Macaca fascicularis: one gene and its partners. The protein of the gene in region 2 binds, or shares a complex with, the protein of the main gene of each other region. Links are inferred from orthologs where the notes say so. Each region holds a gene or a part of one and is shown on either strand. Other genes may lie near its edges.

What was found.
Region 1: MCM7 (region 2) and DONSON share a complex: the UniProt entries of both Homo sapiens proteins name them as parts of the replisome complex. The link is inferred for Macaca fascicularis from reciprocal best matches to the Homo sapiens genes MCM7 and DONSON.
Region 3: MCM7 (region 2) and PCNA share a complex: the UniProt entries of both Homo sapiens proteins name them as parts of the replisome complex. The link is inferred for Macaca fascicularis from reciprocal best matches to the Homo sapiens genes MCM7 and PCNA.
Region 4: MCM7 (region 2) and GINS1 share a complex: the UniProt entries of both Homo sapiens proteins name them as parts of the CMG helicase complex. The link is inferred for Macaca fascicularis from reciprocal best matches to the Homo sapiens genes MCM7 and GINS1.

The regions. Positions count from the first base shown.
Region 1 is NC_088377.1:13,341,720-13,345,219, reverse strand, and holds part of DONSON (protein downstream neighbor of Son), read right to left. Parts: intron 3,128-3,500; coding exon 2,929-3,127; intron 1,215-2,928; coding exon 1,002-1,214; intron 115-1,001; coding exon 1-114. UniProt on the Homo sapiens protein: Replisome component that maintains genome stability by protecting stalled or damaged replication forks.
Region 2 is NC_088377.1:48,746,570-48,749,476, forward strand, and holds the end of MCM7 (DNA replication licensing factor MCM7), read right to left. Parts: intron 2,052-2,907; coding exon 1,883-2,051; intron 1,122-1,882; coding exon 1,012-1,121; intron 854-1,011; coding exon 652-853; 3' UTR 501-651; downstream 1-500. UniProt on the Homo sapiens protein: Acts as a component of the MCM2-7 complex (MCM complex) which is the replicative helicase essential for 'once per cell cycle' DNA replication initiation and elongation in eukaryotic cells.
Region 3 is NC_088384.1:82,165,114-82,167,905, reverse strand, and holds the end of PCNA (proliferating cell nuclear antigen), read right to left. Parts: intron 1,110-2,792; coding exon 986-1,109; intron 905-985; coding exon 825-904; 3' UTR 501-824; downstream 1-500. UniProt on the Homo sapiens protein: Auxiliary protein of DNA polymerase delta and epsilon, is involved in the control of eukaryotic DNA replication by increasing the polymerase's processibility during elongation of the leading strand.
Region 4 is NC_088384.1:61,985,506-61,989,005, forward strand, and holds part of GINS1 (DNA replication complex GINS protein PSF1), read right to left. Parts: intron 3,454-3,500; coding exon 3,355-3,453; intron 2,450-3,354; coding exon 2,359-2,449; intron 1-2,358. UniProt on the Homo sapiens protein: Required for correct functioning of the GINS complex, a complex that plays an essential role in the initiation of DNA replication, and progression of DNA replication forks.

The sequences.
Region 1 (3,500 bases), about 35 Mb from region 2:
GTCTCTCAGCACCACATTCCGTAAAGATGATTTCCCAAGTAATGGTATTTGACTAAGTTGCTCCAGAGTGTTAGGGTGCAAACCACAGTTAGTAAGCTCCTTATGAACAACCTCCTGTGGAAATGTGTATACAAGTCAGTAAAAAGCACATCAATCTTTAAACACAAAAGAGTTTCAAATAATTACTATGGAGACTGACAAATGTCTCATTCACGTGATTCATCCTATCAACAGAAGTTGATCCTAAGAATTTTTGTAGTGACAAAATCCCAAAACATTAATGGTTATTTTTATAAGTCTAGCCAACTGAGATGCATGAGATAATTTTAAAGGTCTTAATTATTCTAGCTCTAAAAACCTTAAGTATATTCAAAATTAAAGGCAAATATGGTTAAATAAATACCCACAGTGAATCATGTTTCCTTAAACTATAAAGGAATCAGGTACTACTGAGTTTTGGATCCAAGAGGAAATGAAAATAAAAGTTGTACCTTTTTGAAATGCGAAGTTCTTCAGTCACTGTTAAAACTGTATTTGGACTGAGCCCGGGCGCCATGGCTCAAGCCTGTAATCCCAACACTTTGGGAGGCCGAGGCAGGTGAATCACCTAAAGTCAGGAGTTGAAGACCAGCCTGGCCAATATGGTGAAACCCCGTCTCTAATAAAGATACAAAATATAGCCGGATATGGTGGCACATGCCTGTAATCCCAGCTACTTGGGAGGCTGAGGCAGAATTGTTTGAACCCAGGAGGCTGAGGTTGCAGCGAGCCGAGATCGCGTAGCTGCACTCCACCTGGGCAACAGCAAGATATCGTCTCAAAAAAAAAAAAAAAAAAGAAAATTGTACTTGGACTGAATTCATGAAAGCTGTTCTTTCCTCTAGTAATTCGTAATTAAATAACAGTTTAATTACTTGAAACACAAAAGTGACTCAGCATAAATGACTCACTTCCCTCCAGCTAAACAACTAAAACAGTCTGCTCATAGGTGTCTTTCTTACCATATCAAGTACTTTGTCCACTGGCAGGCAGATGTTAAATACAGCAGTTGGCTCGTGTGGATATAGTACTGCAGAGAAAGACCCACTCTGTGAAGATTTGAGCAGCATGGTCAGTGAATGCAGAGAATGAGGCATGATAGGACCTGTAATCTCCAAACTAAACTGGTCTCTGTATCCAGAAAGAGCTTGTGTCTTCACATTTACACTTCGTGCCTTTATGAAAATTTAAAGAAAAGGAAAATTATGATCATCTCTCAACCTTTTGTCTAGCCAAAAATATGTTCAATATATTTCCATTTGGGGTTTCCTCTCTTTAACAATTATGGAACAAAACTATTTCCCAAGACATCAAAACAATGTTACGTGAGTACAAATACTTAGTAAATTTTCAGCATCCTCTCCATATTATGAGATTTTCAGGTGATGTATATTCCAGAGAATACCACTTTTTCATATGGTATTTTGTCTGATTTAATAACACATTGTCAATGCAGACTATTGGAAAAACAAAAATTTAAAGTCCATTCAATTTTATTACTAAGTAATAAAATTGTATGTATTTTGTATTTACATATATAATTTATTATGATTATAATCCCAGCACTTTGGGAGGCCAAGGTGGGAAGATCACTTGAGGTCAGGAGTTCAAGACCAGCCTGGCCAACATGGTGAAACCTTGTCTCTATTAAAAATACAAAAAAATGGCCGGGCGCGGTGGCTCAAGCCTGTAATCCCAGCACTTTGGGAGGCCGAGACGGGCGGATCACAAGGTCAGGAGATCGAGACCATCCTGGCTAACACGGCGAAACCCCGTCTCTACTAAAAACACAAAAAATTAGCCGGGCGAGGTGGCGGCGCCTGTGGTCCCAGCTACTCGGGAGGCTGAGGCAGGAGAATGGCGGGAACCCGGGAGGCGGAGCTTGCAGTGAGCTGAGATCTGGCCACTGCACTCCAGCCTGGGCGACAGAGCGAGACTCCATCTCAAAAAAAAACAAAAAAAACAAAAACAAAAAAAAACCAAAAAAAACAAAAAAAATTAGCCAGGCATGGATGGTGGTGTGAGCCTATAGTCCCAGCTACTTGGGAAGCTGAGGCAGAAGAATCGCTTGAGCCCGGTAGGCAGAGTTTGCAGTGAGCCAAGATCAAGCCACTGCCCTCCAGCCTGGGTGACAGCAAGACTGTCTCTAAATGAATGAGTGAATGAATGAATGAATGAATGCAGGGCGGCCAGGTGCAGCAGCTCATGCCTGTAATCCCAGTACTTTGGGAGGCCAAGGGAAGATCATGAGGTCAGGAGTTCAAGACCAGCCTGACCAATATGGCGAAAACCTGTCTCTACTAAAAATGCAAAAAAAAAAAAAAAAAAATTAGCCAGGCGTGGTGGTGCACAATTGTAATCACAGCTACTCAGGAGGCTGAGGCAGGAGAATCGCTTGAACCTAGGAGTCGGAGGTTGCAGTAAGCTGAGATCGCACCACTGCACTCCAGCAGGTGACAGAGTGAGACACCCTCTTAAAACAAACAAACAAGAAAAAACAAAACAAAAAAAATAGCTAGGGTTGGTAATGTGTGCTTGTAATCCCAGCCACTCAAGAGGCTGAGGCACAGCACAAGAATCACTTGAACCCGGGAGGCAGGGGTTGTACTGAGTTGAGATCATGCCACTGCACTCCATCCAGCCTGAGCAGCAGCGCAAGACTCCGTCTCAAAAAGAAAATAAAAAGGATTTCATATAATTTACATATTTCCACATAATTTCTTTGATGTAACTGTCTTATAAAATTTTTTTTTTTAATGGGAGGAAAGCAAAGGGAAAATATGTACCAAGTAAAAATGCTACGAGGTTTTTTGTTTTTTTAAATCAAGAATTTATCCTATCAAACAAAGTACTTTGTATTAACAGCTAGGTTATGGAGATTTTTATTACCTTAAGTATTTGCATTGTGGCACCTCGGAAAGCAACAGGGGACAAGAGGGTTGGAGGAAGTCCTGCCTGTGGACCTGAGGTAGCAACTAAACTCTTACAGTTAATCAAAAAATTGAGCAATGTAAAGGTGTTGATTCCTTTTACCAACACAACAGACTCAGGTCTGTGATCCATCTGTACTTCATGTTTCTCTTTACGACTGAAGATGACAATCAAGGAAATTGCAAAAGCAAATCTCACCTAACGTGTAAAGCAGTTATCTTGATTCTGAATCACCCAAGACTCCTTTTCCCCACAAAGAAATGGAAATCCTCTTGCTACCTCTCTTTACCGAATCATAAGGCATATGTTTCAATCAAAATGTTAACAATCTGAATTTGCTACAAACTGACACCTGAACCTAATTTCTTCTCTAGTCAAAACACACCTATTCTCCCACAAAGAATCACAATTGAACGTTTTGATTAAAAAAGGTTTAACAGTTCACCATTTATTACTTAGGGGCTTATTTAATATTACAATGGACAATTAGTTTTAATATGATCTGAAGATAATTCAAGATTATAGTCATA
Region 2 (2,907 bases):
GTGAATTACCAGGAGGGAGTTTCTCAATGACCGTTTACTACATATTTTGGAGAGGCAGCTAGGAAGTGGTCTACAGGTCAGGATTGCTGTATGTGATCACTTGTGCCGATTTTCATCACCCGCTAACCAGAGCTTTAGAGTGGGAGTTGGGAACTAAGTGGTTAAGTAATGACCTGTCTGCTAGAAAAGGGGAAAAACCAAGAGACCCTGCATTTCATACTGGCGCCGTATCCCCAGAGCCTGACTGGCACACAGGCAGTGTAAGACTAAATAAGGGAGTCGGGGGGCTCAAAAAGTGGAGCCCCAGCTCAAGTATCTCCAAACAGCAGGGACCACTTAGTCTTTGCCACATCCCCAGCATCTATACTGGGGCCTGGCAGGGAGATGCAGCTTACTCAGACAATTTACTGAGTGGATGAAATAGGAGCATAAAAAAGGAACAAGTAGGAATCTAAAAAACACACAATACCCTGTTTTAATGAAAGGCCCAGGCTAGAAGGTGGCAATCTACAAACACTTTATTAGCAGAAGGAATAAGTGCAGCATAGGAGAAAGAGGGGCTCCTCCTTCCCCTCAAGGGCATCACTGCCCCTTCCCAAGGGGCGGGCCAGCAGGGAACAAGAGGACCCCAGGCTTGCAAGCACGCTGGAATCAGACAAAAGTGATCCGTGTCCGGGAAGCATTGACCTGCCAGACATTGAGCTCCTCGTATTCATCCAGAGCCACCTGGAACTGGGCGGGTGTAAAGCCGCGAGATATGCAGCGCTGCTCTGCCTCAGAGAACCGGACGCTTCGGCCCCCTGAGACCAGTTCACGGATGGTGGCAAATACCACATCTGCTGGTCTCTGAGCCCTGAAGGAAATGAGTAGGTGTGTAAGGTCAGGGGACAAACAGGAATGCTCGACATCAACAGAGAACAATGATGGTCAGTGTTAGAATTGAGGCCAGCCTCAGACACATGGACACAAAAGCCAAAGTGACTCAGCTTTGTCCTTCACTAAACCACTCACCTAGCTGTCTGCCCCTTGTCTCCCAGAAGAGAGTCCTTTGACATCTCCATTAGCCTGATGGCTTCATTCACATCTTCCTTCTCCACCACGTCCACCATTCGCAGACGCGCCTAAGGGGAAGGTAGGGGACAGATGGGAACGGGAGGAGGGCAGTGGAACAAGGTCAGGGAACACCCTTGTTCTGGCTTTAAGGCTGGGCAGCCCATGGGTTGCCTACTCACAAAACAGGAGAGGAGCCCCCCACCCCCCCCAGCATCCGCAGTGTTGGGCCGGCACTGTCAGACCGAGACAAGTGCAATGCCCAGGGCAGCGTCCAGCAATTGCCCAAGTCTCCGCCTCTCAACACTGGCCAGTCCCGGAGTTCAGCTGTCCTGTGAGGGAGACCAGACCCTTTTGAACTCCACTGGGCTCCCCAGCATGACAGATGGAGCTTGGGGAGCTCAGCCAAGACAACTGGCAGAGAGAACGTGTCCTGGGGGCTCGGGAAGTGCTAGCTCAGCAGTAGGTCGGTTAATCACACTACCTGCACGAACAGCACTTTGGAGCCCCCAGGACTGAGGTCCAAGACGGGAGGACAGAAAGGAAGGTCTGTAGCACAGGATCTAGGACATGGAGTGAAACAGATCCCAACCACCCGCTCAGTGAAGGTTAACAAGTGGGGAAAAGGTCTTTCCCTCCACGGACGCTGTGCGTGCCCTGCTGGAGCAGCAAGTACCCACAGTGCGGTAGCACGGAGAGGACCACTATCTGCACTGTCAGCACTTTAGCCCCAGCAGGGCTGGAGCGGGAGGGACTCGGCGATGAGAGCATGGTAAGGAGCTGCCACTTTAAGGGTCAAAACAGATGGTCCTCCAGCAGTTTGGGCACTTACCAGAGCAGTGGAAAGGCGCAGGATAGCCAGCAGGGTCCGAGCGGAAGTGTAGGTGGCATCCTTACTAGCCCAAGCCTCTCGCCTCATCTCCACATACGCTGCCGTGATGTAGTCAGCCAGAGACTCTGGCACTGTGGGCTGCTTCTCGCGGCACATGGCTATGTAACGCCTGTGGGGGAAGGTTCATGGGGAAGCAGAAGAGGGAGATGGGGAAGGGAGTGAATATGAGCCCATGTTGTTTTCTGCACCAGGGCTCCCCATTTAACATGGTCCCCTCCAGGAACTTTAAGTGGAAAAAAACAAATTAGTGGGTATTTGCTTGGCTTGAATATCACTGATGGATTTCACCAAACATATAGCCCCCGAGGACCCTCCCAAGTTATTTCCTTTTTTTTTGGGGGGGGGGGAAATGGCCTTTGTAAGGGTAAGACAAATCCATCTGTCAGTAATAGATGATCCAGACCCCTCCTCTGAGCGCATGACACAGCAAAACAGATATATTTAAAGAGAATAGTTTACAGAATATTTAAAAGGGAGTAAAAACCTGAGGGAACACTGGAGGCTCGTGGAAAAATAGCGATAGAGGCTGAGTATCCAGAATGCCTGGGAGCAGGTGTTTTAGACTTCAGATTTTGGAGTATTTGCACATACATAATGGGATAGCTTGGGGATAGGACTCCAGTCTAAACATGGAATTCACCTGTATTTCATATACAACCGACACATATAACCTGAACACAATTTTATTAAAAATATTTTTGTGGGCCAGGCACAGTGGCTCATACCTGTAATCCCAGCGCTTTGGGAGGCAGAGGCGGGCAGATCACTAGGTCAGGAGATTAAGACCATCCTGGCCAACATGGTGAAACCGCTCTCTACTAAAACACAAAAAATTAGCTGGGCGTGATGGCGTGCACCTGTAATCCCAGCTATTCAGGAGGCTGAGGCAGGGGAATCGCTTGAACCTGGGAGGGAGAGGTTGCAGTGAGCTGAGATTACGCCACTACACTCCAGCCTGGCGACAG
Region 3 (2,792 bases), on a different chromosome or scaffold from region 2:
TCACTTTCTTGGTTGGATCCAACATCCATGGAATTTAAGACATCTTCATCCTTTATGTGAGTGAAGTTGCAAAAAGTGTATTTATAATAGAGAAATTTTGCAGAACCATACTCCTTGGGTCCCATTACAGATCTACTGAAACATCAAAGACTCTTGTAGGACTCCCTAGGCTAAAAAGAAACACTCCATTAACATCCTTATAAAGCCAACAAGACTTTGGGTACACGAAGCTTCTGAAGAGTATTAACTTTTGCCAAGTAAAATGAAATACACAGGATTTGTACTACTCTCACTTGTTCCTCGTCCTCAAATTGGAATAACAAGTTTGACAAGCGAATCCCCCTAAAATATCTAGTAACCTACTGTATTTGAAATCCTTTTGATCTACATCAGGCTGCTCTAAACTGAAAAACCATTTACATGAAAGGGTAGCTGTAGCTGGGAATTCAGTAGGATACTTCCAACAGTCCTGGTCAAAATGAAGGCACTGCCCTGTGATGTTTGAAATTCAAGTAACTTTATTTAAATTCAAAAACAATTCTAAAACTGCATTTAGAGTCAAGACCCTCTTGTATTATAAAAATCACATGTATTTCGAAGAGACAAAAATACTTCTAGGTTAACTAGACCAGATCTGACTTTGGACTTTATTCTTTAAACAAATTGCAGAGAATAGAGAAAAAAATAGGTTATTTACAGAAAACAATATCTACATATGTACTTAAAAGTACAAATTTGGTGACAGAAAAGACTTCAGTATATGCTGGCATCTCAGAAGCAGTTCTCAAAGAGCTTAGTTTTATTTTCTTGAATTTTAAGAATGCCTAAGATCCTTCTTCATCCTCGATCTTGGGAGCCAAGTAGTACTTCAAATGTCCCATATCAGCAATTTTATACTCTACAACTGAAAGACCGGAAGATAGTTAATTACTGAGGAGTATCACATATACTACCTACAAAACAAGGTTCAAATTTATTATCTTACCAAGGGGTACATCTGCAGACATACTGAGTGTCACCGTTGAAGAGAGTGGAGTGGCTTTTGTAAAGAAGTTCAGGTACCTCAGTGCAAAAGTTAGTTGAACTGGTTCATTCATCTCTATGGTAACCTACAAGAGAAAACAGAAGATTCATCATTGAAAAACATCAAGAAAGTTGCAATCTATTAGCTTGCATTTATAAAAACCCACAAACACTTTTATTAGTCACTTTGGAGGGAGCTATGAAAATTTTGAAGACTGATGCGTAAAGCAAAAGAATTGAGTATCTAGCTCGTCTTTCCTATAATTTAGATAACCAAATTATATAATATGGGAAAGCTTTTCTTTATGGAAATTCTTCTGATAAGCAGCTAATAAATGAATAAAACGTATTAATTTCAGCTCTGCAAACTCTAATGACTTAATGGATCTAGACAATGACTATTATAGCTGCTAACACTGCGAAGACGTCCAGACCCCTTGTGCCTTCTACTAGAGGCACACACCACCACCTATAAAGTATTCGTGCTCTCTCACCCCCGGCCGAAACAAAACATCCTGAATATCATCAAGGCTCCAGGGCTATAGCTACCAGTCTGTAGGACACAGGGTGGAAGAATTTACGTATACACAGGAATGCAATCAGCAAAATCCAAACTCTGGAAAACTTAACAAATCATCTAATTTCTTCAACAAATAGACTGTAATGGAAGGGGAATAATGAAATTAGAGGAAACCAGGCTAGGTGTGTTGGCACACACCTGTAGTCCCAGCTACTAGGGAAACCAAGGCAGGAGGATCAACTTAAGCCCTGGAGTTTGAGGCTGTAGTGAGCCATGACTGCACCACTGCACTCCAGCCTGGATGGACAGAGCAAGACCCTGTCTCAAAAACAAAGAAAAACAGAAAAAGAAAAAAATAAGGTTAGCAGAGGAGCGGAAATGTGATTCAGGAAACAGATAAAGAATCAGCTCCTAGCCTTTATTAATTAAAAAAAAACAACTTCCAACTGAATTTTACAACTTTATTTAAACTAAATGTTGACTACCCATTCAAGGGACAAGAAAGCAATATATAGTATTTATTGTAAGCTTGTAATATGCCAGACACAGCATATGCTAAGCTCTTTAATGTTACCATATTTAATCCTAACAAGCTTATGAGATTAGGACCTTCGTCCTTGATTTACCAAGTTTTAATTTATGCTCAGGTTACCGAGTTTTTTTTTTTTTTTTTTTTTTTTTTTTTTAAGATGGAGTCTTGCTCTGTCACCCAGGCTGGAGGGGAGTGGCATGATCTGGGCTCACTGCAACCTCCACTTCCTCAGTTCAAGTCATTCTCCTGTCTCAGCCTTCCGAGTAGCTGGGGTTACAGGTGTGCACCACCATGCCCGGCTAATTTTTTCTATTTTGGTTAAGCAAGGGCTCTCTAAGTACTCTCAAAGTTGCACGGAGTCTGCTTTCTAGCCTTAGTGAGAAGTCTTCCTGTTTAACCTTTGATTCCTACAGCCTGTGACTTTGGCTAAATTGTCACTTAAGATTGCTCAGCCTGCTTCTCCACCTTTAAAATGGGCTACCAATTGGACCCACAACATGTACGCTAATATAAGGATTACATAAGTGCTCCTAACAGGTAGACTTTTACTCCTAACCATACCCTTCTATAGAGTTGCTGTTCTATGCTTATTTGGTAAGAGTAAGTATCTCCAGAAAGCTAAAGGTTAGATGCCTAGCTTCCCAATCCTACCCTTAAGAGCCTGTGTGGGCTTGATCCATAAACCATTGTTCTGTGGTATGTACACGTGCTGAATTT
Region 4 (3,500 bases), on a different chromosome or scaffold from region 2:
TGCGAGGCCGAGGGGGGCAGATAATGAGGTCAGGAGTTCGACACCAGCCTGGCCAACATAGTGAAACCCTGTCTCTACTAAAATACAAAAATTAGCTGGGCATGGTGGCAAGTACCTGTAATCACTGCTACTTGGCAGGCTGAGGCAGGAGAACTGCTTGAAGCCAGGAGGCGGAGTTGCAGGGAGCAGAGGTCACACCACTGCACTCCAGCCTGGGCAACAGAGCAAGACTCCATCTCAAAAAAATACATTAAAAAATTAATCTAAAATATTGTATGAGAAAAATCATTAAAGCTACTGTCGTTAGAGAAACAACATAGTGTTCTGTTCATCTCACCATAATACATAGGAAGTACCCCAAAGTTCAATTAATATAAGTCGATTTGAACACAAACAGCATAAAGTGAGGTACTAACATGTTACCAATTTTGTAGTTACTGGTAAATCTGAGGTAGAGATTACTCATTTATTTATGCAGAAAATGAAGAGAATGAAAACGAAGTTATGACAACAAATAGATCACTCAAAAATGTGCAGAATCTAATGACAAACACATTGAATATTTGCTTTTTTTTTTACTTTAAGTTCTGGGATACATGTGCTGAACATGCAAGTTTGTTACATAGGTATACATGTGCCATGGTGGTTTGCTACACTGAATATTTGCTTTCTTAAGCTCTGTCCTATGCAACTGTAATGTAATAACTGTTAACATTTATTGGCCGGGCGCGGTGGCTCAAGCCTGTAATCCCAGCACTTTGGGAGGCCGAGACGGGCGGATCACAAGGTCAGGAGATCGAGACCATCCTGGCTAACACAGTGAAACCCCGTCTCTACTAAAAAATACAAAAAAACTAGCCGGGCGAGGTGGCGGGCGCCTGTAGTCCCAGCTACTCGGGAGGCTGAGGCAGGAGAATGGCGTAAACCCGGGAGGCGGAGCTTGCAGTGAGCTGAGATCCGGCCACTGCACTCCAGCCTGGGTGACAGAGCGAGACTCCGTCTCAAAAAAACAAAACAAAACAAAACATTTATTGAGTGCCATGCTATGCTGTGCTTCACATGGATCACCTGAAGTAACCCTCTGATAGGCCTTGTAATAACACTGTTGTAGAATAAAGAATTTGGTGGGCCTCTCTCCCTCATTCCTGGGAGGTAGCTTCTAAATTATTGGACTTCCTCAACTAGTAGGAGTGTCTTATTATTCATGATGTGCCCTGATAGTATGTGCTACTCAGGTGACTTGGGGTGAACCCCTAGATAGTCTGTGCTAACAAGATGACTCAGAGTTGGGACTGGCCACCCCAGAAAGACCAACCATGTGATTAAAGTATTGGGCCTTTGGGCCTCCTGATGTCAGTCTGACCTCCAGGGAGGGGAAGAGGGATGAAGATTGAGCTCAATCACAGGGCCAGTGATTTAATCAATCATGTCTATGTAATAAAGCCCCAATACACACTCTGGACATCAAAGCTTGTGTGAGCTTCCTTAGTTGACAATAACTACAGGTAGTTAGTGTCAGAAGTCATTGCGACCTGTAATAGATAGGTAATATGATCTTCATCCTGTAACAAGGAAATTTAGGCACAGAAACAGGTCAAGTGACTTGCTCAAGATTAGACAGAAGAGAGCCAGGATTTGAACCTAAGCCCACGTGACTCCAATCCTATGTCCATTTTTTTTTTTTTTTTTGAGACAGAGTCTCGCTCTGTCACCCAGGCCGGAGTGCAGTGGCCGGATCTCGGCTCACTGCAAGCTCCGCCTCCCAGGTTTACGCCATTCTCCTGCCTCAGCCTCCCGAGTAGCTGGGACTACAGGCGCCCGCCACCTCCCCCGGCTAGTTTTTTGTATTTTTTAGTAGAGACAGGGTTTCACCGTGTTAGCCAGGATGGTCTCAATCTCCTGACCTCGTGATCTGCCCGTCTCGGCCTCCCAAAGTGCTGGGATTACAGGCTTGAGCCACCGTGCCCGGCCCAATCCTATGTTCTTAAATAATGGGCTAGCTCTTTGCCTCAATGACTAGGCAAATATGAATTTTCATTAGGAAAGTATATATACACATAAACATTTTATGGAATATCCCCAAATAATAATGCCAGTTTTTTAATCCCACTGATTGGATCACTAATAAGTAACATCATAGGACTCCATTTTGTTAAGTAATAATAGAATTTTCCACATATCATTTAGAATTACTCCACACCACATAGTTCCCCTCACATTGTATACTAAACACCAGACAAAAATTGGGGGAAAACAGACATTAAAAACAGAAAGAGGAATACCAATAAACACTATTATAGAACAATGCCAGAACTTCAGCATTTTCAAAATTTATAAACTTGAACAATGCTAACTCACTTCTTCAGCAGACATGTGAAATCGTAATGCATTTGGCAAGATGCTACCATATTCCCATCTGAGTGCTCTGATCCGAAGCAAGCGATCATACCTAGGACATCAAGAAGGTATTGGGTGGCATAAGAATAAAAGAGGGATCATGTGTGGACTTCATTTGGCCCCTGATGCAAACACACCAGCTCTAAAAAGACATCTTAGGAACAACAAGAGGAACATGAGCACAGTCTGAGAGTCAGCCTGAAGGCACTGTCCCCTCCTCCACATGTGACAACAGCACAGTAGTCCTGGGAAAAAGGTCCCTGAGGTCCTTATTTCTTTCTTCCCCACCCCCTCTTTTTTTTTTTTTTGAGATAGAGTTTTGCTCTTGTCACCCAGGCTGGAGTGCAATGGCACGATCTCCTCTCACTACAACCTCTGGCTCCCGGATTCAAGCGATTCTCCTGCCTCAGCCTCCCAAGTAGCTGGGATGAGGCACCTACCACCATGCCCGGCTAATTTTTGTACTTTCAGTAGAGACGAGGTTTCACCATGTTGGCCAGGCTGGTCTCGAACTCCTGACCCCAGGTGATCCACCCGCTTCGGCCTCCCAAAGTGCTGGGATTACAGGCATGAGCCACTGTGCCTGGCCAAAGGTCCTTATTTCTAAGACAAAGAAGAAAAATAGTAAGATCACTACCATATTCAGTAGTGAAAGACCATGATGCTCTTAAATAGTGTGGCACCAACAAGCGAAACACAATGAAGAAAATATGGCAAAATAATAAAAATTGTTAAAACCCTACAATAGCTCCACTTGGGTTCATAATAGTATTATTCTCCCTACTTTTAAAAGTGTTTTTTCATAATAAAAAATTTAAAAAATGAAAAAACAGAGGAAAAATTTAGAATGCTTATAAAGAGAGAAAAATCTTAAGATTTCTTGTTACCCATTTGAGATGGTCAACTGGGAAGCCACACAGAAAATCCTGCCACCCAAGCAAAAACTGAGAAGCTTACAGGTATGCTACAGTGCAGCGTCGATTTCTTAACAGAGAACAGTGTCGAAATTTGATAGTTGGTATCAAATCACTTCGTCCACCTGACTTCGCTTCATTCCTGATAGGAGCATTTAAAAAGAAAAAAAAAACATAATTTCAGGCTAA